Linked DNA regions of Caenorhabditis elegans. The protein of the gene in region 4 interacts with the protein of the main gene of each other region in a pairwise test. Each region holds a gene or a part of one and is shown on either strand. Other genes may lie near its edges.

What was found.
Region 1: the proteins of pix-1 (region 4) and sap-49 interact in a two-hybrid assay, tested with the Caenorhabditis elegans proteins (one large-scale study listed by BioGRID).
Region 2: the proteins of pix-1 (region 4) and unc-34 interact in a two-hybrid assay, tested with the Caenorhabditis elegans proteins (one large-scale study listed by BioGRID).
Region 3: the proteins of pix-1 (region 4) and F52C6.3 interact in a two-hybrid assay, tested with the Caenorhabditis elegans proteins (one large-scale study listed by BioGRID).

What each region holds. Positions count from the first base shown.
Region 1 is NC_003280.10:8,031,371-8,038,193, reverse strand, and holds sap-49 (Splicing factor 3B subunit 4), read left to right. Parts: upstream 1-2,426; coding exon 2,427-2,681; intron 2,682-2,730; coding exon 2,731-3,500; intron 3,501-3,573; coding exon 3,574-3,715; 3' UTR 3,716-3,944; downstream 3,945-6,823. Other genes in the region: C08B11.9 (uncharacterized protein), read left to right, coding at 50-98, 141-652; arp-6 (Actin-like protein C08B11.6), read left to right, coding at 848-924, 972-1,409, 1,452-1,607, 1,653-1,814, 1,860-2,283; nrf-6 (Nose resistant to fluoxetine protein 6), read left to right, coding at 5,492-5,537, 5,804-6,085, 6,127-6,376, 6,420-6,530, 6,741-6,823. UniProt on the Caenorhabditis elegans protein: Subunit of the splicing factor SF3B required for 'A' complex assembly formed by the stable binding of U2 snRNP to the branchpoint sequence (BPS) in pre-mRNA.
Region 2 is NC_003283.11:979,064-986,712, forward strand, and holds the start of unc-34 (WH1 domain-containing protein), read left to right. Parts: upstream 1-3,642; coding exon 3,643-3,647; intron 3,648-3,747; exon of another isoform or gene 3,748-3,843; intron 3,844-6,032; coding exon 6,033-6,412; intron 6,413-7,649.
Region 3 is NC_003280.10:1,921,671-1,927,660, forward strand, and holds F52C6.3 (Ubiquitin-like domain-containing protein), read left to right. Parts: upstream 1-3,088; 5' UTR 3,089-3,096; coding exon 3,097-3,208; intron 3,209-3,256; coding exon 3,257-3,583; intron 3,584-3,634; coding exon 3,635-3,789; 3' UTR 3,790-4,050; downstream 4,051-5,990. Other genes in the region: bath-2 (BTB domain-containing protein), read right to left, coding at 1-69, 124-275, 339-486, 534-912, 962-1,074; F52C6.4 (Ubiquitin-like domain-containing protein), read left to right, coding at 1,477-1,588, 1,643-1,833; F52C6.2 (Ubiquitin-like domain-containing protein), read left to right, coding at 4,800-4,911, 4,964-5,266, 5,321-5,592.
Region 4 is NC_003284.9:13,724,113-13,734,867, reverse strand, and holds pix-1 (SH3 domain-containing protein), read right to left. Parts: upstream 7,576-10,755; 5' UTR 7,567-7,575; coding exon 7,495-7,566; intron 7,385-7,494; coding exon 7,258-7,384; intron 7,214-7,257; coding exon 7,169-7,213; intron 7,117-7,168; coding exon 6,981-7,116; intron 6,588-6,980; coding exon 6,492-6,587; intron 6,448-6,491; coding exon 6,325-6,447; intron 6,271-6,324; coding exon 6,141-6,270; intron 5,898-6,140; coding exon 5,838-5,897; intron 5,750-5,837; coding exon 5,595-5,749; intron 5,548-5,594; coding exon 5,417-5,547; intron 5,351-5,416; coding exon 5,077-5,350; coding exon of another isoform or gene 5,073-5,076; intron 4,971-5,072; exon of another isoform or gene 4,882-4,970; intron 4,518-4,881; exon of another isoform or gene 4,428-4,517; intron 4,111-4,427; exon of another isoform or gene 4,001-4,110; intron 3,558-4,000; coding exon 3,445-3,557; intron 3,372-3,444; coding exon 3,095-3,371; intron 1,712-3,094; coding exon 1,636-1,711; intron 1,573-1,635; coding exon 1,447-1,572; 3' UTR 461-1,446; downstream 1-460. Other genes in the region: K11E4.6 (G_PROTEIN_RECEP_F1_2 domain-containing protein), read right to left, coding at 8,865-9,032, 9,079-9,262, 9,311-9,510, 9,623-9,749, 9,794-9,948, 10,028-10,204.

The DNA.
Region 1 (6,823 bases), on a different chromosome or scaffold from region 4:
TCACAGCTTAATACAAGATTAGTTACAGATGGAGATAAATGAAGTAGAAATGGCGAGTGATATGCCTCTTGTCCAGCTTCCACAAAGAGGAGAAAGAAGTACGAACAAATTTTGATATCAATAGTAATTAAATTTTTCAGTAAACGTTCCTCTCGTGCAGTCCCGAAGTGAAGATCAGCGCCTTGTAACCAGTGCTCGTCAAACTGACAAAATTGATGCCGATGATTTGGTCGCGCTGGCAAATCAGTTAAACAGTGCCCGCCAATTGGTGAAAGGAAGAGCTTGCGATCGTCTGAAGCAAATTGCCGATCAAATGGAACAATTACATATGGCAGCTCGTGCAGTTCTCGAAGATGCTCAACGCGATGAGCATTTGCATAACGTTCCCTGTAACATGGAGAAGCAACCTGGCCGAATTTACCATTTGTACCAGAAGCAAGGAAGCATGAACAAATATTTCTCTATGTTGGCTCCTAACGAGTGGGGATACCAAGAGAAGAAAGAAGAATATCTTGGATCATATCGGTTGGAATATGACAGAAGCTGGACTCCTGTAGGAGAAATGGATCGTAAAGACGAAGAAGTCGCTCGTCTTCAGCAACTTCTTCAACGGGAAGGACCGGTCGCCTTACGTGGGAATCCTAATTTTTAAGAAGCATATGTAACATTCGTAAAAACGCATAGATTTTCAATTCAATTCCAATAACCGGGTTGTTTCTTGTGTGCCTGATACTTTCATGAATATTGTGATAATTCGAAATTATTTGTTATCTTATAGGTTACCACCCTACTCTTAATTTTTTATCTGGAAAAATCACACTACTCATTCTGTGAAATAATTTTGTAGATGAGTTTAACAACAATTATTTTTGACAATGGTGGCCATAATATGAAGATAGGTACGATAGACTCAGAGTCCCCTAGGTTTGTTTCTAATAAGAAAAATATCAATATAATTTAAATATTTTCAGATTAGTTCCAAACAGTATTGTGAAAGCGAAACATGAAAAGAAGCGGGTTTTTGTTGCACACGAGCAAGAAGAATGTTCGGACAAGTTTTCGCTATTCTATGTGCGACCAATTGAAAGAGGATATGTGGTGAATTGGGATACACAACAGCAAATCTGGGAGAAAACGTTCGGATCTATGGATGTGGAGGCGTCTACTTCTCGAATTGCACTCACAGATAATAACTATCTAATCCCAGCTCTTCCTGATGTCTCTAGTGAAATATTGTTTGATTATTTCGGCTTCACAGAGGTACACAAAACGTCTGCTTCGACTTTGGTGGCAAAACATTCAAATAAAATCAACAACGAAAAGTGTGCAGTTGTTGTGGATTCCGGGTTTTCATGGACTACGGTAGCTTCATTTGTGAATGGAATGCTTATTCAGGATAGTGTTATAAGGTTGGAAAGTGTTTTCAAACTACAATTAGCTTTATTTTTAAGGATCGATGTTGGTGGAAAAGCGTTAACAAATAAATTGAAGGACTGGGTATCTTACCGACAATTGAATGTTAGCGAAGAAACATACGTTATCAACGAATGTAAAGAGGATCTTTGCTTCGTCTCACAAAATTTTGATGAGAGCATGAAAGAGGCTAGGTAGGTATAAAAATGAAGAATACTAATTATATTGTTTTTATTCAGGAATCGATTTCAAGAAAATACAACAATGAAACGATATATTATGCCGGATTTCCACTCGACATTCCGAGGTGTAGTGAAAGACGTTAAAGAGCCACACGATCCACAAATTCCTTCAATTCATTTGGGAGTTGAGAGATTCGCCATTCCGGAAATCTTATTCAAGTTAGTAATTTCGGCAAAAAGTATAAACTATTTTATCTGTTGCAGTCCCTCGGATATTGATATTGATCAATGTGGTGTCGCAGAAGCTGTTATCGAGAGTATTTGTCAATGTCCAGAAGCATTACGGCCTGCTCTGGCAGAAAATATCATCGTGATTGGCGGATCGTCGTGCTTCCCAGGATTTCGTGAACGCCTGGAACGAGAAGTTCGATCAATGCTGCCAGCAGAATATGGATTGAATGTTTCAAATGACGTAATAAACCCACAAACTCATTCCTGGCATTGTGGTCAAGAGCTTCTCACTGCTTCTAAAGTTCCATGGATCAACCGAAAAGATTGGGACGAACGAGGAGACTCGTTGGAGTTCTCTAACTTTTTCCAGACTCTTGTGCAATCCGATGAACTGAAGGGAACTCGTAATTTCGATGATCAGAGGGAGAAATCCCCAAAGGAAGATGAAGATTTCTGAACTGATCTCTTATCACTTTAAAATAAACATGTTTTATATATATATATGCCAAAATATTTTTTTTTGAGATCAGAGGTTTATTTTCCTTTGTTGGACTTATTTTTTTTCATGTGCTGTTCATTTTTTAAAAATCAATATTTCAGATGTCAGCAGGGCCGATAGTGGAAAGAAACCAAGATGCAACAATTTACGTTGGTGGATTAGACGAGAAGGTGTCAGAGTCCATCCTATGGGAACTTATGGTACAAGCAGGACCTGTTGTCAGTGTCAATATGCCGAAAGATCGAGTAACTGCCAATCATCAAGGTTTCGGATTTGTGGAGTTCATGGGAGAAGAAGATGCAGATTATGCAATCAAAATTTTAAACATGATCAAATTATACGGAAAGCCAATTAAAGTAAGCTATCAAATATGTTTAGTTTATTATTTAAAAAAATAATATTCAGGTGAACAAAGCATCGGCTCATGAAAAGAATATGGATGTTGGTGCAAATATTTTTGTTGGAAATCTGGATCCAGAAGTCGATGAGAAATTGCTATACGATACGTTCAGTGCTTTTGGAGTTATTCTTCAAGTTCCAAAAATCATGAGAGATGTTGATTCGGGAACGTCTAAAGGATTCGCGTTCATCAACTTCGCTTCATTCGAAGCTTCAGATACAGCATTAGAAGCTATGAACGGCCAATTTCTTTGCAATCGAGCTATCACCGTCTCATACGCTTTCAAGAGAGATTCAAAAGGAGAAAGACACGGAACAGCAGCGGAGCGTATGCTGGCTGCACAAAATCCACTGTTTCCAAAAGACCGGCCACATCAAGTATTTTCTGACGTTCCACTTGGTGTTCCAGCTAACACACCTTTGGCCATGCCAGGAGTTCATGCTGCTATTGCTGCTCATGCAACAGGACGCCCAGGCTATCAACCACCACCATTGATGGGAATGGCTCAATCTGGATATCAAGGACAATATCCACCAGTACCACCACCTCCACCAAGTGTGACACCAATGCCACCTCCAATGCCGCCAACGCCAGGAATGACTCCTCGTCCACCACCACCACCATCATCTGGAATGTGGCCGCCACCACCACCGCCTCCACCAGGAAGAACTCCAGGACCACCAGGTATGCCTGGTATGCCTCCACCACCACCACCATCACGATTTGGTCCTCCAGGAATGGGTGGAATGCCGCCGCCACCTCCACCAGGGATGAGGTATATATTTTTGTTCTAAGTTGAAAATATCGTTCATGTTCACCGTTCGAACTTACACAATTTTTCTTTTCAGATATCCGGGAGGCATGCCGCCACCACCACCGCCGCGATATCCTTCTGCTGGACCAGGAATGTATCCACCTCCACCACCAAGTCGTCCTCCAGCACCACCATCTGGTCATGGAATGATCCCACCTCCACCACCTCCATCATAATTACTCGATCGGATTGGAATACCTTAATCTTTATTTTCAGAAACTTTTGTTTTTCACGAAAAGATCTTCATTTCAGCTGTTCTAAACTTTTACATTTTAAATTATTTCGTTTTATTCTCATTCCATAAACCAATTTCTATTTGATGTCAATTCAACTTCAATCATATTCCACAACCATCATCTCCTCCTCTCTCTTATCAATCTCATCACAATCACACCTTTCTTTTCCAATTACCACTTCGATACGTCAAGTCACGTTCTTCAGCGGTTTTTTGTTGCATTTTAATGTTCTCACACAATCTGTACGCCTTTTTCCACTATTTAAGACATCATTGATGTTCGCTGGAGCGGCAAATCCTATGAACTATAGGCAAGTTCAACGCCTAATAGAGACGTAGAGTGTAAGTGAGGTTTCCGGGAGAATTCGTCTCGCACCTTCCTCTCATTGATTCTATCAACGAACGGAACGAGTTAAACTAAAAAAAAAAGTGTAGAGAAATAGAGAAAGAAGGGGAGAGAAAGAACATGGACAATGACTGTATTCAACCGGAGGACACACCAAAACTAATTAGTCACCCGAAAACATCACCTACAATCATCACATTGCTTCTTCGCACTTTTTCCAGAAATATTATTCCAGTATCATTTTGATTTTCTCCAATTCAGTGTTTTTGTGTTGTAGAATTTTCAGTTTATTATTTTTGGAGTTCCGAGAGTATCTTCAGTTCAAATTTTGCACATTTATCTCCTTATTTAAATGAAATTGCTACTACATTCCTAGAATTTATGAACAAATGGAATAATTTTTATTAGGAATTTCTCGAATTATGATTCATTCTTCCATTTTCCATTCATAACAATCGTTCGTTTTTCTTGCATTTGAAATTTCATTCGTCAGTAAAAATTCTACAAAACAACATTGTTTCAAATAACCTGTTATTTATATAATTTTTAGGATGAGTTTATGAGCTCTAGAGGAAGAAACCAACTTTGCCCGTTTCCAATTATATAATTACAGTACTCAACTTTTCCAATTGTTCGTCATATACATATTTCCACACCAGAACTCATTTATATATATTTTGCAACGCATCAATGTTTAGCTTTCAAAAATTTTATGATCTAGAGAAGTTAAAAAATCACAAAATGTCGTAGTTAAAAATTGAGGACGTTTTATATACTGTTACAAAGTGTTACAAAGTAGCAATAATTCAGTTTTCATGTACTTCTTATAATTTTGGAAGTTCACTAAAAAAAAGTTACACGAGTTTTATGTTCAATCTATATCTTAACTATTCTTATTTGAACACTGTAGGCTCAAAATTTCAATTTTTCTGACAGTCTGGCATTTTGCCAAATCTCTGACTAAATATTTTGGAAAATCCACAATGCCGTGTTTTATTCAGATATATTGTCTTATTGACCTGCTGTGACTATATTTTGACAAAACTCTTGAGTTTCTAATTATACTAATGATTAGTGGTAACCCTACATATGTTATCTGAAAACCCCACTGATTCTGTAAAACGAATGTCCTTTTGATAGGTATTTCTTTTTGTTTCTGATACAATATTATATTATACTAGGGAGAGAGACTTAGACTGCCAAAAAATATTCCTTATCATTATAAACCTTTGTGCCTTGATTGCCTTCGAGCAAAAAAAACCGCCGACACTTAATGATTGACACTTATTCGCCTAATCTGTTCAATTCGTTTCACTTTCTTGCAACTTTTCATTGCCTTCCTGCTGCTTACTTTAAAACTTACAGATCAAAATGGGTAACATGCGGAGGCTGTTGATCTTTGCTGTTCTAGTAATATGTAAGGATAAATAATTACATTTTTAATAAAGAAAAATTACAAAAAGATCAAGGAAATTTGAACTGTTCATTACGATTACAGTAGATTAGAAACTTTCTCGGATGTTTCATGTTTCTTTTGTTGTGTATTTTGGATTTTGAACCATTTTATTTTATCTTAATTTTATGTTTAACTAGTCAGATATTCCATTAATTATATTCAAAAAAAAAACAGAGTGGCATAATTAATTAAATTCATGTTAACGATTAAAATGTTTATATTTACAGTAACCGTCATATCCAATTCAAAATCGAGTTACAAATATGATGGTTCATTGTTCTCAAGTAAAGAATTGGATTATGATGAGACAGACACTAAAGCAATGGGATCCGTTTTTTCAAGATATATGTCAGATTCCGATGCTCAGCTAATTCTTGATCTCGACTTTTTCCGTCATTTTTTCAATTACGCAGAAGCTTATAGAGATGGAGCTGAAGAGGGAAATCTTGAATTAATGAAGTATGCTGTTGAAATGGTTGAAAAATTAAAATCATTTGATATATCAATGGGTTAGTTTATAATGACTATATCTTTAACAAAAAACATTTAGCTTGCGTTGGAGACATGATGCACTTGGCATGGACTGGAGTAGAATATGCAACTCATGTTGAAGAGCATAAAAACTGCTCAGATTGCAAATGTACACCACTTTTCCAACAAAAGAAAAGTGAACGTCACTGGATTTTTAATGTTTTTGATGCAATGGGAAAGGTTCCAGCTGGTATTATGAGTGGAAATAACTTATGGGTGGGCTCATGGAGCACTTGTAGAAAGATTGACGTTGTCAAGAATGCTCAAGGGTTAGTTTGATTAGATGTAAAAAATAATTAAATGCGATTACAGACAAAAGTGGAAAGGTCAATATTGTTTGGCAACAATTGATGCATATGAGAGAGACAATCCACTAGTTTATTTTGGAAATATGATGTCTGGACCACCAGATAAACATTGCTAGTGAGTTAGAGGGACTACAAACTACCTATATAAGCACAATCATTAGCAACAAACTATGAAATAAGAAATAAAACAATAATTTGGAAATTTGGCAACTCTGGCATGAGATTTCAAAGTTGAGCTGAATGATACACTTCAGACGTAAATGGTTGACTTTGTTCGAATAAAAAATCAGTAACTTTGAACGTTTATCAAAATAAACAAATTTAGTGATAAGACGGTCAAAAATGTAACTGATGATGGCTTCTGTTTTGCTCTTTTCCCAGTTCTCAAGTTTGGAGTATGTATGCCAA
Region 2 (7,649 bases), on a different chromosome or scaffold from region 4:
GTAGAAAACTAAGTTGTTGTCCGGTAGGCGAGTGAGGGAGGCCAGAAGCTCGTGAAAAACTGACTATAGAAGCCCACCAAAATTACAGTACCCGGGGTCTCGACACGACAAATTTTTGTTAAATACAAAAAGGTGTGCGCCTTTAAAAGTTACAGCAATTTTAAACTCCTGGTAGCTTCGGAATTCTCATAGAATTTTTAAAGTTTTTCGATAAAAATATATTATTTCTTATTTTAAGAATTGTGAAAACTACAGTACTATATTTTTAAAAAATAGAAAAACAAACACCCCTGTACCCGATTTAAATCACTTTTTCACATGGGGTTCTGGCCTTCCTCATTGAATTTGTCGCGCTCCATTGACAATCGCCTGCCGGACAACGCGTGGAAAAGTGTCGTGTACTCCACACGAACAAATACATTTTGTTTTACAACTAAACTCGAGCCGCGACGCGACACGCAACGCGCCGTAAATCTACCGAGCCAAAATGGCCTAGTTCGGCGAACTCTTCCGTGTCAATTTATGAGGGAAGCCAGAAATCCGTGTACTTTTTCAGTTCAAAAATCCGCAAAATTAGTTTTTTTTCTCTCAACTTTTGAGTTTACTCGGACTTTGTGCTGTCTTTCCGAAAATCCATTCAAGGGGGTCCTCTCCCTTTCCAAAAGCTCTCCGGAGCTCATGGAAAAAGGAGCATCTCACGAGAAAAGGATAGCTGGCATACGGGACGGAGAGCCCTCCCCGCGAAAACTTTTTTCTTTTTTTGCTGTGCCATTCCACTCGTCGTTTTTCGAGTAGTTTTCACCATTCCATTTTTCTCTCTGCTACTCTCATTTCTCCACTTCCTCTCTCTCTCTCTCTCTCTCTCTCTCTCTCTCTCTCTCTCTCTCTCTCTCTCTCTCTCTCTCTCTCTCTCTCTCTCTCTCTCAATCGCGTCTCATCTCATAACAGATAGCCGTGTAGACTTCTGCTACAACTACTACTATTTTTACTCGCCCTGTAGTATATGTAGTAGTTTTGATGAATATTTTTTCCAGAATTTTTTAGACGGACGCAAAAATTAATATTGAATACCTATCTAAAATTTTTAATTTTCGGTCAAAAAGCCTGAAACACGGATAGGATATAAACTAACTCAAAAATTTTTTAAATAAGAAAAAACATAAATTTTTGTATACGTTACTTATTGTTGCACGAACGGTCTCACACAGCGGAACGCGGAAACTCTGTATTACGGGAATACTAAATTCTGAGAATGCGTATCTTGCAACATATTTGACGCGCAAAATATCTCGTAGCGAAAACTACAGTAATACTTTAAATGACTACTGTATAGCGCTTGTGTCGATTTACGGGATCTCGTTTTACGAGAATAATTCTTCTCGAGTCGATTTGCGGGCTTCCTCGAATTTTGGCAGCAATTTTCAATTTTCTGTGGGTTTTTGTGCTCTTACCCTTTAGTGGAAAATTAAATTCTGCTGCCAAGATTGAATATTTTCTAAAAATGTTATCCCGTAAATCGACACTGACGTTTCTACAGCACACGTGGGGCCATGCTATCCCATCACGTTTTGATCTACAAAAAATGCGGGAATTTTCGCCCGAAAAATGTGACGTCAGCACGTTCTTAACCATGCAAAATCAGTTGAGAACTCTGCGTCTCTTCTCCCGCATTTTTTGTAGATCTACGTAGATCACACCGAAATGAGACACTCTGACACCACGTGACAACACGATTTTCGCGTAAAATGTGTTGTACAATACGCATTCTCAGTTTCAGACTAATGGGGCCATTTTTCGATGTATCGTTTTTTGTTTCAGGGGGGGGGGGGGGGGGGGGGGGGAAATCAAGAAATCGGAAAAAAAAAGTTCAGAAAATTGAATTTTTTCAACAAATTGAATTTTTGTTCATGTCGATGAAAAAACAAAAAAACAAAAATTTTAAGATACTTTTTGAAAAATCAAAACATTTTTCTACATAGCTGAAAAACGAAATTATAGGGGTTTTCAACTCAAAACTTCCTGGGCTTTTTCGGCCATTTCGTGTCTTCGTGCGCCTTTAAACTACAGTGTTTTTTTCAAACTTAAAAATTTGAATAAATATATTGCCCACGCAAATGTATATTGAACACACTGCATGTTTGCACTTTGTTCGTCATACAGAAAGTGAGACGACGACGACAATGAGTCATTCACTTTTTTATGACAATTCGAAATCTAATCTCTTGTGTCTCGAAGCGATTTCCTTAGAAGTTTTAATTTAAGAAACTACCTTTTATTGTTGTTTAAAAAACCATGATCCCCCCCCCGTGCAACTCGTTTCCGGAAACGGTCTCCATCAGCCTGTGTTTCGTCACTCTCACCCCTTCCCCATTTTTTGTTCCCACTCGGAAACTCTTTCTCTCTCTCGGGTTTCTCACTGTAACGATGGCCGGCACAACAGACAATGAATTTTGATATTTTTGTGTTTTCTGTTTGCACAGTTATTAGAGCATTTTCCATTTTTTTCGCGGGGTTTTCACAGTTTTTTTTGTTTGAAAATTAAAACAAAAATCATGAGTTCAATCAAAAATAATTATTTAGTTTTTCAATTATAAACGAATTTGGCAAATTTTTACAATGTTTTCCATTGATGGGCAATATTTTTTTAATGAAAAAAACCTACAAAAATACCAAAAATTTGAATCAAAAAAGTAATTTTTGATTCATTGCACACTTTTGAGCTCAAAGCAAAAACAGCACTTTTTTTTTCAAAAATTTTACCAAATTTTGAAAATAATTTTTTACGGATTTTTAGGTGTCAAAAAGTGTTTGAAAAAACCAAAATTTCTCAATTTTTGAAAAAAAATTGTTCAAAAAATATATTTTTTCGATTTTCAGAAATTTCTTTTTAAAAAAATCGATATCACACTTTGCTGAAAAAATATTTGCAAAATCTGTAAAAAAAAAATACAAAAAAACTTTTTTAAAACAAAATTTTTCCCAATTCTAGAAAAAAATCATTAATTCCGACCAACGAAAAATCGATAATTTTTCGATTTTTTTTCAAATAATTCCAAAAAAAATTTCTCGATTATCCTAAAAATCTTAAAAATCGATTTTTTTTAAATTGATTTTTTTAAAAATTTTCTAAAAAAAAATTTCCCGCTTTTTGAAAAAAATTCAAAAATTCTTTAACAAATGTTTTCTCCGATTTTCTGAAATTTTGAAAAAAAAACTAGATTTCTCGAAAAATAGCTTCAAATTTGTCCATTTTCCTCTTTTTTCCTCTTTTTAGAGATCAAAATGAACAAAATTTAATAAAAAGTTTAAACGATTTTTCCAAGGTTTTCCAGAAAATCGAAAATTCAATTTTCTGAAAAATCGATTTTTTCCCCTCCCCGAACATTTTTCCCTATAAATCTCGTTCTTTTTTTCGTCATAAAAAATGCATATTTTTCTGTTTTTTCCCTTCTCACATTCTCATTTTTCAGCCAAACCTCCACCAAAAAACTTCAAAATTTTTGCCGTTGCATTTCGAATGCGTGAAACACTGACCGATTGCTGTTGCTGCTGCTGTTGACAAGACACAAAATCTGCCGTAAAAGTGCACTTTTTTGAGCAAAAAGAGCAAAAGGAGATTAGATTGCACTTTTTTGAGCCAGAATGAGGTAATAATGACTATGGAGATGGGGAACTTTTTATGGGAAAATTTGAAAAAAAATTGAAAAAAAAAACCAAAAAATTGGCCTAAAAATTGCAAAAGTTCGGCCACGAGCTTGTGTCGATTTACGCAGCTCGTGTACTTCCCGAGGAAAAGTGTGAATTTTATGTTTTAGGCCAGTTTTTGGCGCTAAAATACTTGATTTTTGACCATTTTCGCTAAATTTTGATCGTTTTCACGTATTTTCGTTGTTTTCAGCATAAAATTATAAAAATTTTGAACAAAATACTATGAGTTATTGATAAAATCGCGAATTGAGTGTAAAAAAAATTTTCAAAAATCGATATTCTCCTCGTGGAGTACACGAGCTCCGTAAATCGACACAGAGGAGCATTTTTTTTCAGAAAAAAATTTGCATGCTCCTCGGGGAGTACACGAGTTATAAAATTTATTTGCCAATTTTTTCGTGCTGGGACCTAATAGGAATGCTCCTTTGAATGCAGACAATTGAAAAAAAACTGTTTTTAGCAGAATTCCCTTCAAAATGAAACCAACGACCAATCAGCGATTCGCACCGCCCACTTTCTAACCAATCAGTAGCTACAAGCATTCTGATTGGTTCAAAAGTGGGCGGAGCGGTTCGCTGATTGGTCGCTGTTCTCATTTTGAAGGGAATTCAGTTTGAGACTATTTTGGGGTTTTTTGAAGCGAAATTTTCATTCACGCTACTCTCCGCACGGATTTCTGGCTTCCCTCATAAATTGAAATGGAAGAGTTTTCCGAACTAGGCCATTTTGGCTCGGCCATATCTGGGGTAGATTTACGGCGCGTTGCGTGTCTCGTTGCGGCTCGATTTTAGTTGTAAAGCTAAATGTATTTGTCCGTGTGGAGTACACGACACTTTTCCACGCGTTGTCCGGCGGACGATTGTCAATGTAGCGCGAAAAATTCAATGAGCAAGGCCAGAACCCCCGTGTCTCCGCGATCTACCACCCAGCAAAAATCCATTTTTTGACTGATTCACAGCGTCTGACTGTAATGTTGACACTGAAGCTCTCTAATGTTTTTTTTGTGTGTGTGTGAGGTGATGCTGTGTGTTCCTATTTGCACAAATACCTAGTGTCCAGCAGAAGGAAGAGAACTGGATGAGCAGTGAAAAGAGCCCGTGCCAATTGCTGCCACTTATCATGTCCGGCTCGACCTCCGAGAGAGGGACGAGACTAAAATTAAATGAAATGAGAAACAATAAAAATTGAGTGGAAATTTAGAGAGTGATTGGATTTTTTTTGTAAAGTGGTGTAGTCGATTTTTTTTTATTGCTTTATTAGACTCAAATGTTTGTTTGAAAACACCGATTTTTTAAATGAAACTTCTTGAAAACTTCTCCAAAAAAAAAGTTATGACCGCTCGAAAAATGACCTAAAATTAGTTGAAATTTGAAATTTGAAAAATGCCGCAGCGGCTGGAAACAATATTTTGGAAAACTCCCGACTTTATTATACCTAAATGAAGTTGAAAATGCAAGATAATTGAATTGCATACTCAAAATTTGAAGGTGATTTCGAAAAAGTTAGTTTCCAGTCGCTGTGACAAGTCAAATTTCGAATTTCAACTAATTTTAGGTCACTTTTCAAGCCGCCATAACTTTTTTTTGAGAAGTTTCATTATAAAATTCGGTGTTTTCAAACAATTTTGAGTCTAATAAAGCAATAACAAATTTCGTCTGCAACACCACCTTTAATCAGATACCATTATTTAAAGTTTCGAAAATCTAGTAGGTTCGCATATATAAGTGGTCGGTTCTATTACATCTGAAAGAGCTCAAAATTCGCAACTTGTGCAAAAAGTTGATCCGAACCTTTTTTAAAAGATGACAAAAATCTCATTTTTTACCTTCTTCAATTTCGCCAACTTTCGAATTATCGAAAATATTCTCAAATTCCCTGAGAATGTCATATTATTAAATTGCGAGTGAAAAAAGTTACAATTCCACAAAAACCGCATTTACTATGATGATAGAAATTACTTTTTCACACTTTTTACCTCGATATTAGTCGAATTGCCAAACATTTTCGATTTCCGGCCACCGAAAAAAAACCAACTTTTTCTTGTCATTTTTGAAACAAGTATATTTTGAAAAAATGATTTTTAGTGCAATCATATTACATGTGCACGAAATTCGGAGAATGCGTAGTTTTTGTGTCGATATACGAGCTCGGTTCGATAAATCAATTAGTTTCGAGCCCGTAAATCGACACAAGCGCTACAGTAGTAATTAAAAAAATTACTGTGGTTTTCGGTACGAGATTTTTTGCGCGTCAAATATGTTGTGTAATACGCATTCTCAGAACTTAGTTTCATTTTTTCCCACCAAAAAATTCAAATTTTCCAGTAGCGAAGCATGTATCGCGACGGCAATGGCCCGAGTGATGACCTACAACGAATCGACAAAAGGATGGGTACTACTCGGCGGAAATGATGATTCAATGACAAATGTTCGCCTAATCCAAGACATTCGGCGACCCGAGTTTCGGATTGTATCCAACCGCGCTGACAGCACGAATATCTTGAATTGTAATATTTATCGAGGAATCAAATATCACAAGGCCACACCAATGTTTCATCAATGGCGTACCGAACAGCGGCGGGTGTATGGGCTGAATTTCGAGAATGAACAGGATGCGACAATGTTTTTAAGCATTGTGTTACAGGCGATTGAGACGTTGAAAGTTCATGATATGAATGGAATTAGTGATTATCAACAGATGCATCGTGCGTTTTTCAAATATAGCTTTCACACGACAAAAATCCCAAGATATAAAAAAACCTAACCAGAGATAAAAATCGAAAATAAAAAATTATCGATTTTCCGGAAAAACGAAGCATCATAACATTGTATAAAATTTATGTTTAGTTTTCATCAGAAACACATCAGAAAACGTATAATTTTTTTGCTCATTTTTCTACAATTTTTAATTTTCCGACACTACTTGAATAACCCCATAAATTATCAAAAAATCATCAAAAATATACAAAAAATACCCAAAAATATCGAAACTGTCAAGTGACTTTTTCAATAGAAAATGGGGTGCAGCACTATTTTTTGGACATTTTTTGAATGCAGCACTATTAGAGACTGCAGTACTACTGGATATGCAGCACTATTAGAGAATATACGGTATATATTTATTTATTTATTTATTTATGGTCTCCAAAAAACAAAAAGTTCTCTGTTTTTCTCTGAAAGTTCACAAAAAACTTATTTGTTATTAATTTTCAAAGATAACTTTCAAAATTCTATATAAAAACGATTTTTAAACTAATATTTTCAGTGTTTTTTTTTTGGGTTTTCTGAAAATTAAAAAAAAAAATTTATTACGATTATAAAATTAGGATCTGTAATTCGAAGAAATTCCTAAGAAATGTTTTTTTTGAAAAATTTCAAAATTTCACTTTTTTTTTTTGGAAAATGGTTAAAAAAATTTCGTAGCTTAGAGAAAAAAAAAATTAAAATCTGAAAAAATTAAAAAAATAAAATAAAATAAGAAGCTGTTTTTTCAAAACAACAAAAAACACTTTTGTTTGAAATATGCTAATGGATCCATTTTTTTCAATTCAAAAATTATTGATTTCTGAACCACTATTTTTAATCTAATACTTTCACATGTTCTTGTAAATTACCCAGAAAAAAAAATCAATGATCATTTTTCTCCTATTTAGCAATCTGTCCCCGATCCTCAAGTTAAGTAGCTTTTCGCGGCTCACGATGACTCATTGAGCATGGTCTTATAGTCAAAAAAAAACAGATTTCTCACTTTTATATATTCCTACTTAAAATATGAATTTTTGGTGTTGTCCGTCTAAAAACGACGTCGAAATGTCTGGAGAAAGGCGTAAGAAATTCTGAAAAATTAAAAATTTTAAATTGATATTACTGGAAGAGAGAGAATTCTGAGAATGCTCTTATTTCACGTCATATTTGACGCGAAAAATATCTCGTAGTGAAAAC
Region 3 (5,990 bases), on a different chromosome or scaffold from region 4:
TTCATCCAAATCTCCAGCCAATGCCGCTTTGATCTCCTCCAACGTATTGATTTTTGCGAGACAAGACGCCTGAATAATTAGATTTTCAGACGTTTTTCGAGATTTTTTTCGGATTTTTGCTACCTTCAAATTCTCCAGCTGATACTTCTTGGCGACTTTAAGCTTCTCCTTCGTGGATTTTTCAGATGAATCGACAAGAAATTCCTCACATCTTTTAATCGGAAACGGCATATCGTACAAGTGAGCCAAGTGCAGAATTCCGTCCACTGTTTCCTCTGAAATTTTTAAAATTCTAATTTTTGCGGATTTATTTTATAAAAATATTTCGAATTTCTCACCATCAATAGCATATTCTCCATACCGAACTTCCATGAGATTCTGAAAATCGGTGGAATTGATGTCCTGGAGTTTGACTTCTGATTTGTCAGCTTCTGCAAAATTTCCGAGCAGCAGAGTCTCGAAATATGTAGAGTGGGAAGCCAGGAACTGAAAAAAAAATCAATAATTGATTGATAAAAAAATTGAGAACATACTTTTCGGAGAACGAAGAACTTTTTATCTCCAACTGCCAAAATCACATCTGAAAATTCTTCATTCGATCTCTCGAAGCTTTTGAGCTTTTTCTTCGGAATTCCAGACATATTCTTGATTTTAACAGCAACTTCAATGATGATGACGTCATCGATTAGATAATCCTTCAGCAATGAGTCCCACTCGAAAACATCGCAAAATCCAAGTGCATCATATGAATTCCAAATGTCACTTCCGGTTTTTGTCACAGATTTTCCCGAAGAATTAGAGAGTTTCAAGGTAAATTCAGAGTCGATTTTCCAGGGAGCTTGCTCATTTTTTGGGTGCAGATACCGGAGAAATACAGCCACGTCTTCTTTTTGGTGAATGAGAACTATTCGCCTGCAATATTAAACGTAAGAGTGAAATTACAATTCATTTTCTAGCTTGCCATTGAACATTGAAATGTTCTTCTTCAGGACCATAAAAAGTATTTCCATCTTCCAGCTTCGACACATCTTTGAAAACATGGGAGAGCTCAAATTCTCTTTTGACAGCGACCATTTCCCAATGTGCCGCTGAAAATAATTATTTTTGAATTTTCTGCAAAAAATACGATGAACTACGTTTAAATGCGAAGAAAAAACAACAACAAAACCCCAAAAAACTAATTGCGCGTCAATTAATGTGCATTGTGTGCAATGTGAACTTTTTCGCTTACCGTAGTTTGGAAATTTTTGTTCTTCGATTTATTGATTTTTTCGAAACTCTTGCCCATATTTACTTGTTTTTTCTCATTTTTTATCGAAATTTAAATGAAACAAATTAGTTTAAGTGCTATATTTTTTTTATTCAACAGAATAAGTTCAAAACTTCCCGAAGATCAAATTTCTGTGGATTGTTACTCTTTTTTCACTGTTTTTTGTTGCAATACTCTCAATAAATTCAACTTTTCCAGCTAAAACCATGCTGCTCTCCGTCAAAACGTCGACTGGAAAAACCATCACAGTGGAGGCGCCGAAAAATGTGAAAACTGAAGTTCGCGACAAACAGGGAGTCGTTTTCACAGTCTCTTACGGTATTTATCGATTTTTTTTTTGGTTTTTATTTCAATATATGTTTATTTTTTCAGGAGAAGTAACCGGAGATCCAATCACTGTTGAAGCATCGGACGCCATCAAGGATCTTAATTTCAAGGTTGCCGAGGCTCAGCGAAAACCGCATCGTGAAGGAATGCGAATTTACGTTAAAACTTGTGAAAAAACGATCACTCTTGACACTGCTGCCTCCGATACCATTGCAAGTGTTAAGGCTAAAATCTAGGAAAAACGAGGTTTTCCATCAAATCTGCAGAAACTATATTTGGGTTAGTACTTTGAAACTGATAGCTTGTCTAATTTCTTTAGTTTTTACAGAACCTTCCAACATTGTTTTGTGCAAGGATCAACGTACTATTTCTGACTACAACATCAAAAACGGCAGTACTCTCCGTTTGGAAGTTCCTGTAAAAGAAAAACTGACGGTTTCTGTGAAAACCTTATTCGGAAAGACGATTCCTATTTCAATCAAGAATACGGATACTGTTGAGACATTGAAGTTCAAGGTTCAGAATAAACACGGTGTTCCACCAGATCAGCAGCGTCTCATTTTCGGTCGGGCACAGCTCGAGAATGACCGTGCTCTGTTCGCCTATAACATTCGTGATGAGGATATTATCCATTTAGTCTCCAGACATCGGTTGTGAAGTTCTCAATTTGATTGCTCTTAATCTGTTGTTTTGTTACTTTTTTGTTTTTTATTGTTGATAAATGTTGAAGGTTTTTTTTTTAATTTTTAAATTAAAAACACTGTCTCAAAATATTACAGGTACCATATTTATGATATATGAGGGTTTTTTTCCAGTAAATTCTTCTGTGTTCTGAATTTCCGACTTAAACATTTTATTTCGATGGTTCAGAAAATTGGTTTTTCAGGTTTTTGGATACTTCAGGCTGATATTTTGAAATACTCGAATTTAATTCAATTTAGCATTATTCAACCCGCTAGAATTTCTGTTGGCACATGTTTCTTCAATTAGAATTTCTATTATTTAAAAAACCACAAAGAATTTAATAAAAAATCAGCGAAACTACGGTAGACGAGGAAGTAGGCAGTTGCACACGATACACATTAAATAATTGACTTTTCCGTTTTTCTTGATTCAGTACTCGAAATGTTTTCATCGAAAACTTAGAAAAAAGTTTTTTAATATAAATGAAATTTCAATAAAATTTGCGCGTCAATTAAAGTGTTCTTTGTGCATTGTGAACTTTTTTTGCTTACCGTAGTTTTGCAATATTTGTTTTTCGATTTATTGACTTTTTCAACGCAATTCTTCTTTATAGCTTGCTTTTTGCCCGTAATTCATCAAAATCTTGATAATAATATTTATTAATTCATTCTATTCATATTTTTAAGAAAAATCATTTCGAAATTATCCAAAAACCAGATTTCTCCCTTGTTTGCTTCTTTTTTCACCGTTGTCCTCGTTTTTCTGTTGCAAAACTCTCAATAATATTTAATTTATAAATTTTTCCAGCTAAAATCATGCTGCTCTCCATCAAAACGTCGACTGGAAAAAACATCACAGTGGAAGCGCCGAAAAGTGTGAAAACTGAAGTTCGCGACAAACAGGGAGTCGTTTTCACTGTCTCTTACGGTATTTATTGTTTTTTTCTGGGTTTTGCATTAAAAAAATCATTTTCAGACAAAGGTACCGGAAATCAAATCATTGAAATGGAGGACACTGTCCAAGATGTCAAAATTCAAGAGGCTCAGCAAGCACCGCTTCGTGAATCAGAAGAAGTGACCGAAGATCCCATCAGTGTCGAATCATCGGAGGTCATCGGAAATCTGAATGTCAAGGTTGCCGAGACTCAGCAAGAACTGCATCATGAAGGAATCCGAATTTACGTTGAGAACGCTGGAAGAACATGCACACTTGACACTTCCGCCTCCGATACCATGGCAAGTGTCAAGGCTAAAATTTGGGAAAAACTAAGAATCCTCCCAAATACGCAAAAACTATTATTGGGTTTGTACTTTAAATATTGAAAGATATGTCTAATTTCTTTAATTTTTACAGAAAACTGGGACCTAGATTTGTTTAGCGATCATAGCACTCTTTTTGACAACAGTTTCGAAAACGGCAGTACTCTTCGTTTGGAAGTTTCTATAGAAAAAGAAATTGACGTTTTTGTGAAAACCTATACCGGAAAGACAATCACCATTTCAATCTAGAATACGGATACTGTTGAGACCTTGAAGCTCAAGATTCAGGATAAGGAAGGTATTCCACCAGATCAACAGCGTCTTATTTATCAAGGATCGCAGCTCGAGGATGACCGTACTTTGATTGCCTATAACATCTATAATGAGGCTACTCTCCGTTTAATTCTCAGACTTCGTGGATGAAGTTCTCAATTTGAATATTGTTAATTTGTTACTTGTTATTTTGTTACTGTTCTGTTTATTTTTGTTGATGAATGTTGAAAAAGTTTAGATTTTTTTGAAATTAAAAATATGGTTTTTAAACAGCCGGTATATTTCTTTGTGTTCTGAATTTCCAACGTAAAGAATCTTTTTCAGTGATTCAGAAAGTGTGCTTTTCAGGTTTTTCGTTAATTTCTGTATTTCTCTATCATAGAATACATTTCAACTCACAAGAATTTTCGTTAAAAACCACAAAAAAATTAATAAAAAATCGGCAAAACTATGGTAGACGAGAAAGTACGCTGTTGCGCACAATGCATGTTAATTGACGCGCAAACAGTTTTTTGTAATATTTTTTTCCTGTTTTGCTTGATTCAGTACTTGAAATGTTTCTTTTCAAATATTATAATAGTTTTTTTTAAAATTTTCTGCAAAAAATGCTGAAATTCTAATAAAACCAAAAAAAAACTCAAAAAACGGCATGCGCGTCAATTCATGCGCATTGTGTTCATTGTGAACTTTTACGCTTACCGTAGTTTGTCGAGATTTGTTTTTCGATTTATTGATTTTTTCGAAACTCTTGCCCATATTAACTTGCTCTTTCTCGCTATTTATCGAAATTTGAATGAAAAAAATTAATTTAGGTGCATTATCATTTTTTATTTAACAAAATAAGTTCAACAACTACTGAAAATCCAATTTCTGTCGATTGTTATTCTTTTTTCACTATTTTTGTCAAATTAAAAAGTTCTTTCTGCGTCTTTTTTGTTTAAATGCTCTCAATTAGGTTTAATCTATCAACTTTTTCAGATAAAATCATGCTGCTCTCCATCAAAACGTCGACTGGAAAGACCATCACAGTGGAAGCGCCGAAAAGTGTGAAAACTGAAGTTCGCTACAAACAGGGAGTCGTTTTTGCAGTCTCTTACGGTATTTATCGTTTTTTTTTCCTGGTTTTTGCATTAAAAATAATAATTTTCAGACAAAGATGCCGGAAATCAAATCATTGAAATGGAGGACACTGTCCAAGATGTCAAAATTCAAGAGGCTCAGCAAGCACCGCTTCGTGAATCAGAAGAAGTGACCGGAGATCCCATCAAAGTCGAAGCATCGGACACCAACAGAAATGAAGAAAACCCCGATTTGGCTGGGCCACCCGCGGAGCCAGTTATTCGTGGCACTGCCGCCTCCGGTAGAATTGTAAATGTTAGGCTTGCGGGAAAAAGAATCGTCCAACCGAATAGGCGTTTCACATCATATTTGCCTTCGTCCGCCGTGAGACGTGGTTGGTTTTACAATTGATTATTTGTCTAATTTACCCATAATATTTTTTTTTCAGTAGCATCGCCCTATCAGATTCGGCGGGTTTCAGTCGATGGAAATTTCAACGTTTTTGTGAAAAACTCAACCGGAGGAAAGACTACCGCTGTTTCAATCAAGAATACGGATACAATTGGTACCTTGAAGCTCAAGGTTCAGGAGAAGGAAGGCATTCCACCAAATCAGCAGCGTCTTCTCTTCAAGGGATCGGAGCTTATGGATTATCGTACTGTGGCGCATTGTGGACTTCGTCAAGGCACAAGTCTCGATCTTGTTAGACTTGATGCATGAAATTTTTCGATCGATACTCTTTAATTTTTTAAACTGTATTTGTTTTATTCCTGTTTTGTTTCTTTAATGAACGCTTAATAATTTTTTTAGACGTAAAAATCTATTTTCAGTGATTCAGGCAGATGGGTTTTTAGGTTTTTCTCTAGAATATTCTTTTATTCGCAAGGATTTACTCGAAACTGCTCCAATAAATAAGTTTTTCCAGAAAATCCACTAAAAATTTAGCTTCTTCAGTTCCAAGCGATATCTGAGTGATCCACTGCGAATTTTGTACAGATTTTTGTCGAAATTAGAAAGAAATTTATTAAATTGAGTTTTCCATGCTTTTTTTCCAAGAAAATCGAGTTTTTGCAGCGAATTTTCATTAAAATTTCGATAAAATCAATTAAAAATCGTGC
Region 4 (10,755 bases):
ACGGCAAATTTGCAGAATTTGCCGTGCTCGGCAAATATTGAAAAAAGAGATTTGCCGAATTTGCCGAGCTCGGCAAATTTTGAAAAACCAGCAATTGCCGATTTGCCGAGCTCGGCAATTTTTTCCATTTGCCGCACACCCCTGGTGCAAACCTAGTTATTTGGAGCAGCCGACACGTTCGGTGTTTCGCAGCTTGGCGTGAAATGAGTAGCTTGCGCGGCGATCGCTGAGACCAGCGGATGCGCCGTTGCGGCCACCTCATGGGAGCCCTAATTTTAACATTGAAAAAATATAGAAATTTGATACAGCTTTGATTTTTTTTTGACATAAGTCAAGCTTTCAGCAAAGCCTAGGCAACTTTTGAATGCTGATCATATCAGTTCAAAAAAGACTCAAAAACTAGAATTTTCGCCTTGCTTCTAACAAAAAAAGGTTCTTAAAGACTAACTTGCCTTAAATATATAATTAAATATTGTTTTATTCAGAAAAATGTAAAATAAGAAATAGAGAAAAAAGTGAGAAACAAAATACAAAGAAAGTGTGAAAGTTACACAACACCAAACGATTTCTGTTTTGGAAAAATATATAAATGCTAAGAAATCGGAAATCAGGCAAAAAACAACATTGATTTGTGAAAAAAAAAACACGAAAGAGGTGGTCGAGTCAAGGCACATAGGTCGAGAAAAGTTGGAGAAATAGAGGAGTAATAAAGTCGAGAAGGAAGAGGTCGTGGTTGTTGGTATTTTCTGGGAGTGCGAAAGGAAGACGGAGAAGGAAATAATGTTTGATATGGGTTCAAATAATTAAATTAAATAGAATTAAGTAGGAAAATATAAACTTGTAATTGGACATTTGATTTTTAGTCCATCTGGTAAATAAAAAAAATCAAGTCTCTAGATGAGTTCTGTGAGGATATTAGCTTGAAAAAACAACAAAAACAGATTTTCCTAGTGAAGCTACTTTTGGCAATTTTCAATTTTTCAGTCTTTTTAGCCTGACATAAACATTTGCATGGCTTCCGATGTTCAAATTAAAAATTTAAATGACAAACCAGCTAACTTGAAAATTCAAAAAAAAAATATGCGAAAATTGTTTTTTTTTTGGTTTCAGTCAAGCTTCCCGTACTTCCAAGGATAATTTGGACTGTCCTTTTTTATATTTACTGATTTGATTGAGTATAAAAAGTTAAGTCAATAATCACAAAAGTCAACCATTTAATGATAATATTTCAACGCTTTCGATCATTCTACTGGCATAACTTTGACGATGAACTTAAGAAAACAAAGAAAACAAAGTTTTAAATGAACGTTACTAGAATCAAACTTTAAACTAATTGATAATTAGGTGTTGAAAATGCTTTTTAGCACCGCACCAACAGGTTAATTGCAATGACTTTTTTGTAATTTCTAGCGCTCTCACTCATTCGAGAAAACGCTTTCAACTAGTTTACAAGTCAAACGAGTTGATCTCCTTTCTTGGAGTACTGGAACTCCCATCTGGCGAGATCACCCCAGACATTTTTGGCAAATTGTGCTCCAGACGACGGCGTGCTTTTTGTTCGGATTCAACAACCTGGAAAAATGAAATTATTGGTGCTAGATGTGACAGACCAGAAGAGAAGAATTTTTCACTCACTTTTGCTAGTTTTTGAAATTCGGTCTGAAGGAACGAAAGTTGATCTTTGATGGCGTACACAGCATCCACAATACTTCTGAAAAAAAAAGAAGAGGTGACAAATGAGCAATGAAACGGAAATCTAGATAGACGAAGAGAGAGCAAGTCGGAGGAATAGATATTGTCGTTGGAGCAAGAGCGAATTGACCATTGGGAAATACTGGTCACTTATTCAAGTTCAAACTAAATACATCCGATGTGCTCAAGGAGTACGACGAATGAAAATGACAGATTTATAGACGATGTCTAACTAAGTTCGATGTACATAAAGTTTTAAAGATAAATTTGAAATGTTTTCTAAATGCACGAATCTTTTTATGTTCGTTGAAGAATAGCTTATAAATTTATTTAAATTACACACTTGTGAAGGGAAATTTGAAATAAAGATTGTTATGGTTTTCACTTAAAGGTCGAAAAAGGTCGAAAACATGACAAAACAAGCTATCCTACTGAAAGTTATCTAAAAAACAACTCACGTCCTGTTTTTCATCAGACAACAATTTCCGATGAACGGCTATAATACTATAATACCAAATAATATCAGTAAACAAGGAAACTACAAAAAATTGTCTCTACAAAAATTATCCCCTCTTCATCTTGTTATCTTTGGGGATACTTGTTTTTCCTTGTCAGCTTATTACTTTTCTTTAAAAGCAGTACGAAAAATAATAACTGAAAATGGACGATATGCAAAACAGACAAAAGAAGAAAAAGAAGAAGCAAACATGACTAGATGAAAACAATCATTATTTACTGGTGATCAAAAATTATATTTTTACAGAAAGTAAATGTTTGATCTCTTTTTGGCTTCGAAATGAAGGGCCTTGTTAGGAATATCACTATTGGCACGTTGTGCAAGGCTGTCCGATTACGGTTTGATCTACAAAATATGGGGGATTTTTGTTGCTAAAAATGTGACGTCAGCACGTTCTTAACCATGCGAAATCAGTTGAGAACTCATTCAGTTTTAAATACACAGTGGAAAACGTTTTGGCCGGTTTTGAATTGAGAACTAAAAAATTGTTCAAAGCTGAGCCACGTGCCCAAATTACTCTACTTGGGAATCAACACTGGACATATTTGAAAAAAAAAAACAGAAATTTTAAAAGAACCTTAGAAAAATCAACTTCTTTACTAAAAAAACATCAATTTGGGGGGGGGGGGGGATTCCAATTTTGCAAAGTTTCTAGATATTTCAGGTTTGCTGAAGTTAGTTTTTCTTATCAATCAATTATCGATTTTCCTATTCGTCCGTTATTTTCCCACCCAATTTTTTCATATACGCCACCCTAATATCTATGATTCAGCAAGAGAAGAGGAAACGAAAAGGTTAAATTTTTTTACAAATTGTGTACAATCTTGACCCTAGAAAAACTGAACTGGACTCTTCTAAGGTCTCATCGTTCAAAAAAAAACTTACTTCTCTTGCAAAACAACTTCATCTCCAATCATCTCCTCCATCAGAATCTTCTCATCTTCTGCAACAATCAAATGTGGTTGTTGATAACTTTCATTTGCATGGAAGTCCGACTGTCCGCCACCAGTTTCCACACAGTATCCTTCCAAAATTCGAAGTGTCTCAAACTCAATCTCCTCATCACGAGCCGCGTCTTTTCGAAGTCGAATGTTACGATCACCTCGTTTGCCGGCGTTCCCGCTTAGGAAAAACGATGGGAACTGGGAGAATTGCAGGTTATCTGAAAAAGATTTTTGTTAGTTGATAATCATAATCACGACAGAGAAAACAATAAATAACAAAATATCTCCTACCTGCAGTATTCCTTGAATTGCGACTGCTTGTTGGCAGCTCAAATCCTTCAGGGAGCACCATTCCGAGTTCATGATCGAACTTCATATTTCCCAAGTTTAAACTGTCATCAAAGCTGAAAATTTCAAAATTTAGGTCTCGTTCCATGTTTTATTTGTTTTTTATCATTATTTTTTATATTGTCCACACAAAAAACTTTTCACCCTAATTTCTCCTATCTCAATAGCCATTGTATCTGTTACGAACTATTCTTCGTGATCTATTGAGTCCGAAATTTCACATGCGACAGTTAGAAAGTCTTCGTGTTTTGATCCGTGAAGAACACACAATTTCTTGTGTTGCCTAAATTGGTGAGCGTTAATGTTGCCAAGTCTTGTTATCCAAAATCGAGGGATCGAAAAACATAGAGATTTTTGGTGAGAAGAGATTTGTCCATCTAATACATAAATACCAATTAATCTAAGTAGTAATTTACATCAAATTTTTCGCTTCATACTCTATCCCATCCCATCAAAATCGTATTTGCAATATCTTTTTGCATACATTTGTCTAGAGGACAAATGCAAAAAAAGGTAAGCCCAATGCGGGGCTCGAACCCGCGACAACCAGATTAAGAGTCTGGTGCTCTACCGACTGAGCTAACCGGGCGGCGATAGGAACCGAGGCGCGTGTAATTTAAAAAGTGAAAATGTCAGGCGCACTTTGTGGCTGTCAGGAAGTGTCTCGCACTTTTTAGTGTAATAGTGTGTTGAAATTTGTTAGGTCGTCGGTCGTTGCCAACACTGTTAAAATAAACAAACCGGCAAAATTGATTTCTCGCGACATTGAAAATTAATTGAATAGCGATACTTTCAAAAAGTGTATAGGATTTAATAAGAAAATTCCTTTAATGTTGAAAAAATATTCCACCTAGAAACTTCGCACCCCAATTTAGAAAAGTGAGTAAATTTTATAGTAAAGTTTTTTTAATGATCATTTGAGATAGACAAAAGCGTAAGCCCAATGCGGGGCTCGAACCCGCGACAACCAGATTAAGAGTCTGGTGCTCTACCGACTGAGCTAACCGGGCGGCAAAAGTAGATGTGGTGCGACCTTTCAAATAGAAATATGTCACGTTTTTCAAGGACAGTAATGTGATTGACGCCACTTGTTCGTCTCGGTATGTGGTATGTACACTTTCACTGAGAAAAAACTGCGTAGCGTGTTTGAACAGATTTCAAAAATTATGTTTTTTTAAATCTGTGCATAAACGCCACGCTGTTTTTTTTCAATACAGTGTTTAATATTCAAAAAAAATTTTTTTTAATTTTTTTCCGTTTTGGTACTACTTTTGAAGTTTTGAGAATAATACAAACTGGTATCACGAATTTAATCTCAAAATTTGGCAAATCATGGAATTTCTTTAAATACTTGTAATAGGAAAACCAATCGCAACGAACAAAAAACTAAGCCCAATGCGGGGCTCGAACCCGCGAGAACCAGATTAAGAGTCTGGTGCTCTACCGACTGAGCTAACCGGGCGGCGAAAAGAAATATAACTTAATCGAAAATAATTGAGGGTTAAACGTTGCGAAGACATTTTTGATAATTGTCTGTTCATTCCAATTTTACACGGTTAACATGAAAACACTCACTTCTTCGAGCTTTTTCTTTTGTTCATCATACTATACTGTTGATCCGAGTTTCCTGGGGGATGAAGTGGGGGTTTTGCGACCAGAGGAGTCTCTGCTCCTTGAGTCTGTGATTGATTCATTGTATCGTTAGCATTTTTGGAAGGTCTCCTCAAGATAGTTGTCGTCGGAGTGATGATTGCCACGTTTTCAGCTTTCGCCAAAGCAACAAGGAATCTCTCCACCTCACCCCCGGTTGAAACCATCGTTAGAGTGAATTCTCCAGTGTTGGGGCGATCTAGAAAAACTTGGGTTACTAATTTGTTTTTTTTTTTAATTTTAATTTTTTATCCGAATATTTTACCAAATGAAATTTCAGTAGCTTCCTTTTTCCGAACAATAAAACCGGACACTGTAAACTTCTCCTTAATGTCGTATGTCATATCCTTGGTGACTTCGAAAAACATAATGTATTTAGTGAACAATGCCACGAATCTGAAATCACTTCTAAATTTGAACAGGTAAAATTTTCGGCAACTCACCGATCCACTGCATCCGCTTTCTTGTATTCCACATTTGCAACACCCACATAGAGAATAGATCCTCGTTCTGACGCTGAAACCACCTTGTCCACTTTTGACACAAACAAGAAGTCGAGTTGGGCTTCTTTCTGCTTACGAAGGGTTTCACACAAATCCTAAAAATAGTTTGATTTTAAAACTTGTTGATCCTAATTCTTGTGAGTCAGTTAGATTTGTGTTTCTAATATTTTTAAAACAACGCACCTTTGTTTCCCGAAAAACTGCCGATCCACGTTGTAAATCTCCACGGTCCGGATGATTCGCCTGAAAATTTTTTTGATGATGATCTCATTGACTCAAAATGATATAAAAATTATTATGCATTAACAACGTTTGTTCACATGAGTAGACTTGATAATTTAACATAAAAAAATTATCATAATAAAATTTTCACAAAAATGATGTATTTTAATTAAACAACTGTGCTTTCTCTATGAAAAAAAATTCCAGAGTTTAATGAATCGATTGACCTATGTTTTTTTTTCTCATTTAGATTCAAATACTCACCGGAACAATTCGCTCAAGCTCCTGGAGCAAGTTGTAGTACCTCTCGACGTGCCGGAGTGGCTCACTGAGTCCTAACACCAATTCCTTGTACTCCCGATCCTGCGACTTTACCACCTTTTCCAACTCCTTCCTGAAAACGCGAAACAATACATTCGATACATTCTCTAGCTCTGTCAAAACTTACTGTTTCTTCTTGAGAACTTCGACAGCGTCTGGATGATTGTCAGCATAACTCATTAGTGCCGTTCTGAGCTCAAGAGCAGCATTCATGAACATTCCACCGACTCTCATTTTTGGAAGCTCCTCACTGAAATAAGAAAGTTGAAGAAGGTTGGAGAAATTAAAACTCACTTTTGCTCACGCTCCAGTTGTTCAAAAAGATCACGTTTCAGAGTGTAAATTACTTCGAAATTCCCAACCAACGTACAGTATTCTGGAGCCGTCAAGCTGAAAATTGTCAAAAATGTATTATTGTCGTACCCAAAAATGAAAATCCACCGGAAATGCAATGGAACTTGATGTTTTTCTCAATGTAAATCTCAAAGTAAATTGTAAATAAATATGAATAATTTAGGTAATAATTTAGGTATACTTTTTTAAAGCTTTAGCTAGACTCAATTTTTTTTTGAAAAATGGGACCTGTGACTGTATTTTGAAACAGTGAGCTACTCGCCCCACTTTTTAAGATACTTTTTTTCATAGCGCAGAGGTGCCCATCATTCCAAATTTCAAGTTATCAATTTTTAGAATCTGGATTGATCAACAAAAAAAGCAATAAGAAAAATCCGCAATGAATTAAATTCACATTTTGAAAGTTAAAAAAAACATTTTAAAACTCACATTTTAGATGCCCCAATTGGAATCAATAGAGATTGCAACGTTTTGAGCAAGCTTTGCATGTACTCCTTTTCCGATTCAATATAACTTTTGAGCACAAGGTCTCGATAATCTGGTTGAGCTCCGACGGATACCACTTCTGAATTTTTAAATTTGAATTGTCTCAACGAGTAAATCTTCATGAGATATACCTTTTGCAGTTGCATTTGGGACGGATCGAGATCGCTGGAGTTTGTCTGCAATTTGTGGGTATTAGCTCGAATTTTCCGATTCAAGTTACCTTTTTCTGTGATGAGAGTTACATAGGCACACGGAAACCATCCGGTCACTCCTTCATGTGTTCCTTCCCACCATCCGCCTTCTTGCTGCTGTGTTATTGTGATGATGTCATCCTTGTCGAAACTTAGCTGAAAATTCGTGGAATGATACTTTTGTCAAAAAGTAATTTAAGTATGTACTATTTTTTAAATTAAAAAAAAATTTCACAAGTTTGAATGTGTGGGAAACAAAACCTCACCTCATCGTTATTTGAACCTTCGAATTGAAATTTCGCTCGAGCCGATAACGGAGAACCCGAACCAGGTTCCATTTTCTGAAAAAATACTGTATTCGGTGAACATATTCGATAAATTTTTAACAAAAAAAATTGAGAAAAATTCAAAATCAATAAATTCTCAAATAACACATTTTTAGTAATTAATAACCCTGTGGAGTTTAAAAATACTGTCGATGGAATCGATAGAACGGGTGAACACTGAGTAAGAAATGCAAACGCGCTCCATCGCACTCTCTGGGTCTCTTTTGCGGGGTGTATCTCTCGTCTTTTCAACCCGTATAGTGGCGGCCCCTCAACGGACTTACGGTGATAAATAACATGTGTTGACCCTTTCTCTTCACATCTCACGAACAAAGTGCTCTTTTTGATGCTCTTTTGAACATTGTTTTGTGTAGAGATGAATTTTTATTTTATAAGAAAGAGATTTATGATGTAAATTTGGAAAGTAACTAAATTCAAGGAAGGAAAACTTCGAAATGCCGGTAAAACTCATTATAATAGCATATTTATCAAATTTGATATCAAATACATTTCAATTTTTTAGAAACAAAACTATAATTTTTTGCATTTTTTCTTATTTTTCGACTGCTCGTTTCCCTTTTTAGAAGTTTTAAAGAATATCCCCAAAAAATTTGAAGTAGGTATAAACATTATTTTTGCGGTGGAACCCATCTCAATGAATCCATGCCACTCCAATTGTAACATTCAAAAAAATTTCAATACTAAGCTATCTTTAAAATTCCACAAAAAACCTAATCAATTTAAGATTTTTCAAATGATGTTAGAGTAAGACAAGAGGATGGCAGACATAGTCGTCTGTGATTGAAAAAGTGAAAACAGAAAACGTGTTCCGATCATATCAGATCGAAACCTTATCATGTTATATCTTTTAACCGAACCCACAAAACTGAACAATTTGTTTGAAAATGATTATAGGACAAGATGTAACAACGGAAGTATTCTGGCTTAGCTATTTTCTGAAAATTGCTACAAAACCACGTATTTGTTGCTTTTATTCAACCACATATTCAAATACATACATACCTATTTAAATTATTTTAAAGAACAGCTTTAGTTTTTCTTTTTTTTCAACAAAAAAAAAAACAAATCCATATACGCGCTCTATGATATAAAAATTGAGAAAATGCCCTATTTAATAGCCCTAAAAACAACAATCCAACAAATAATAGAACACTTTTTATATAAAATATGCAGAATAAGAAATTAAAAAAATATATATTCATTAATTAAATTTATACAATTAAAAAAAAACGATGACCCGAATTTACATTATTCACACAATTTCTAGTCACAAAATATTTATGATAAATTCATTTTCTCTCGGAAATAACGCTCCATTGCCGCTGATATAGATTGAAATAAGTTTGCGATACTCCTTTCCCATTTTGGTTCAGCTCTCGGAGTTGTCTTCTCTGGAACTCGTTCCTGGTGGTCACCAAAATTGTCATAGAAAGTAGCAATGACACGTAAGGAAATATCTGAAATCTCAATTTTGAAATGCTTTACCAGATAGTAATAACTTACAAATGTGTTAATCGCGATAAATTTATAATTTGTGAGACTAAGAGAGTCTCGGAATGCTCTTACTACCATGGCAATTAAAATATAGGCAGAAACAAAGACAGTATTCAACAAGACCATTGGAAAGAGAGCTCTTAACACTACCAAGTTCTCATGTTGCTGATACTTTTTGTTAAGCCCGGAGGATCTGATCAAAGATATATGTAGTTGATTATTTCACATTTACATTACTTACAATATTTTTCGTTTGTTATTTTGGTATAAAGCTAGAAAAACGGCCAATATAAAAATGTCAACAACAAGTATTCCCAGGAACACGATATACATTCTTTCTCCAATTGATGCAGATGTAGAGTATACAAGGCAATGGGTCATGGGCTCCAATGGATCTTCATTCCACAAAGTCCATTCAATTGCAAGAATTGCGGAGAGAATCTGGAAAAAAAAAACGGGAAACCTATTTATTGAGAAATTGTATCGAAAATTTATGGTACATACACGTAAACTTCAGAAATTTTGAATTTTAAACTATGAAAAATAAACTCACTGAAAAAAAAACCAATAAACCACCAAGCCATTGGGTTTGAAATTCATATTTCTCTTTTGCTACTGTAGCAATTAGACGCTCGAACATTTGACAGAACTGAGTTGTAGTGACTCCAACGAAACATGTTCTAAAGTAAAAAAAACTACTTCAACCTTTACAGTAGTAACTCACAATGCAATTCTTCTGAATATGGAACAAGACGCTGTTTCAAAAACTAAATCACAATCATTTTCATAACTGAATGCAAGGTATATTTGTCGTGTGCAAACATAGACGATATCCAATGAAAAAATAAGGATAAAGATCGTGAGCAGAATCATGAGAATCTGAAATTGAAAATTAATTCAATGACTCTTTGTTGTTATTTTTTTTGCTTTCAAAATGCTGTTATATTGTGAACGTTACCTTGGCATTATAATGGAACAGCAGTCTAAACCCATATAGAAAGAACGAATATACTATTATTGCCACTGACAATATTCCAGACAATGAACACATTATCTCGGGGACGATGTACAAAATATGCGTTGCAATACTTCTATTAAAAGCGCATGCCGATATTACCATACTTGCATGGCTCATTTTTGAGTGTCCTGGAATTTGGAAAATTCAAATATTCGAAAATGACGAAACGAAAAAAAGTGAGTAAAGTGAAAATATTCAGGTAAGAGAGTTTGAAATTCGATAACTTGTAAACTACTTGAGTAGGCGGCAATATTTGACTTTGAATTCTCTTGGTTCTAAGTTGCAAATGAATGAGTGAATAAAAAGAATAAAGATTACAGAGATTACGAGGAAAGAAACAAAAAGGCGTGTAACGGAAATATGGTTCCTATTCTGGACATCAGACATTCGATATTCTTTCCGTGTTTCCAGAACTCTCTCGGGCAAACACCTACATATACTCAGTTGTTGTATGTCAGTAAAACTTGCATGTCTCATTATTATTATAGATCAGATATTCAAAGAGCGATTGTTACGCAATGAGCATAAGAAGGCGATGAAAACATGTAAATTAAAAAATCAATAAATTTGGATTATATGAGTATTTGTCAACAAACAAAGTAAAAATTTACAACATCCTTGATCATCACTCATGTACACTGAGTACGATCCACTGATACTTGAATACC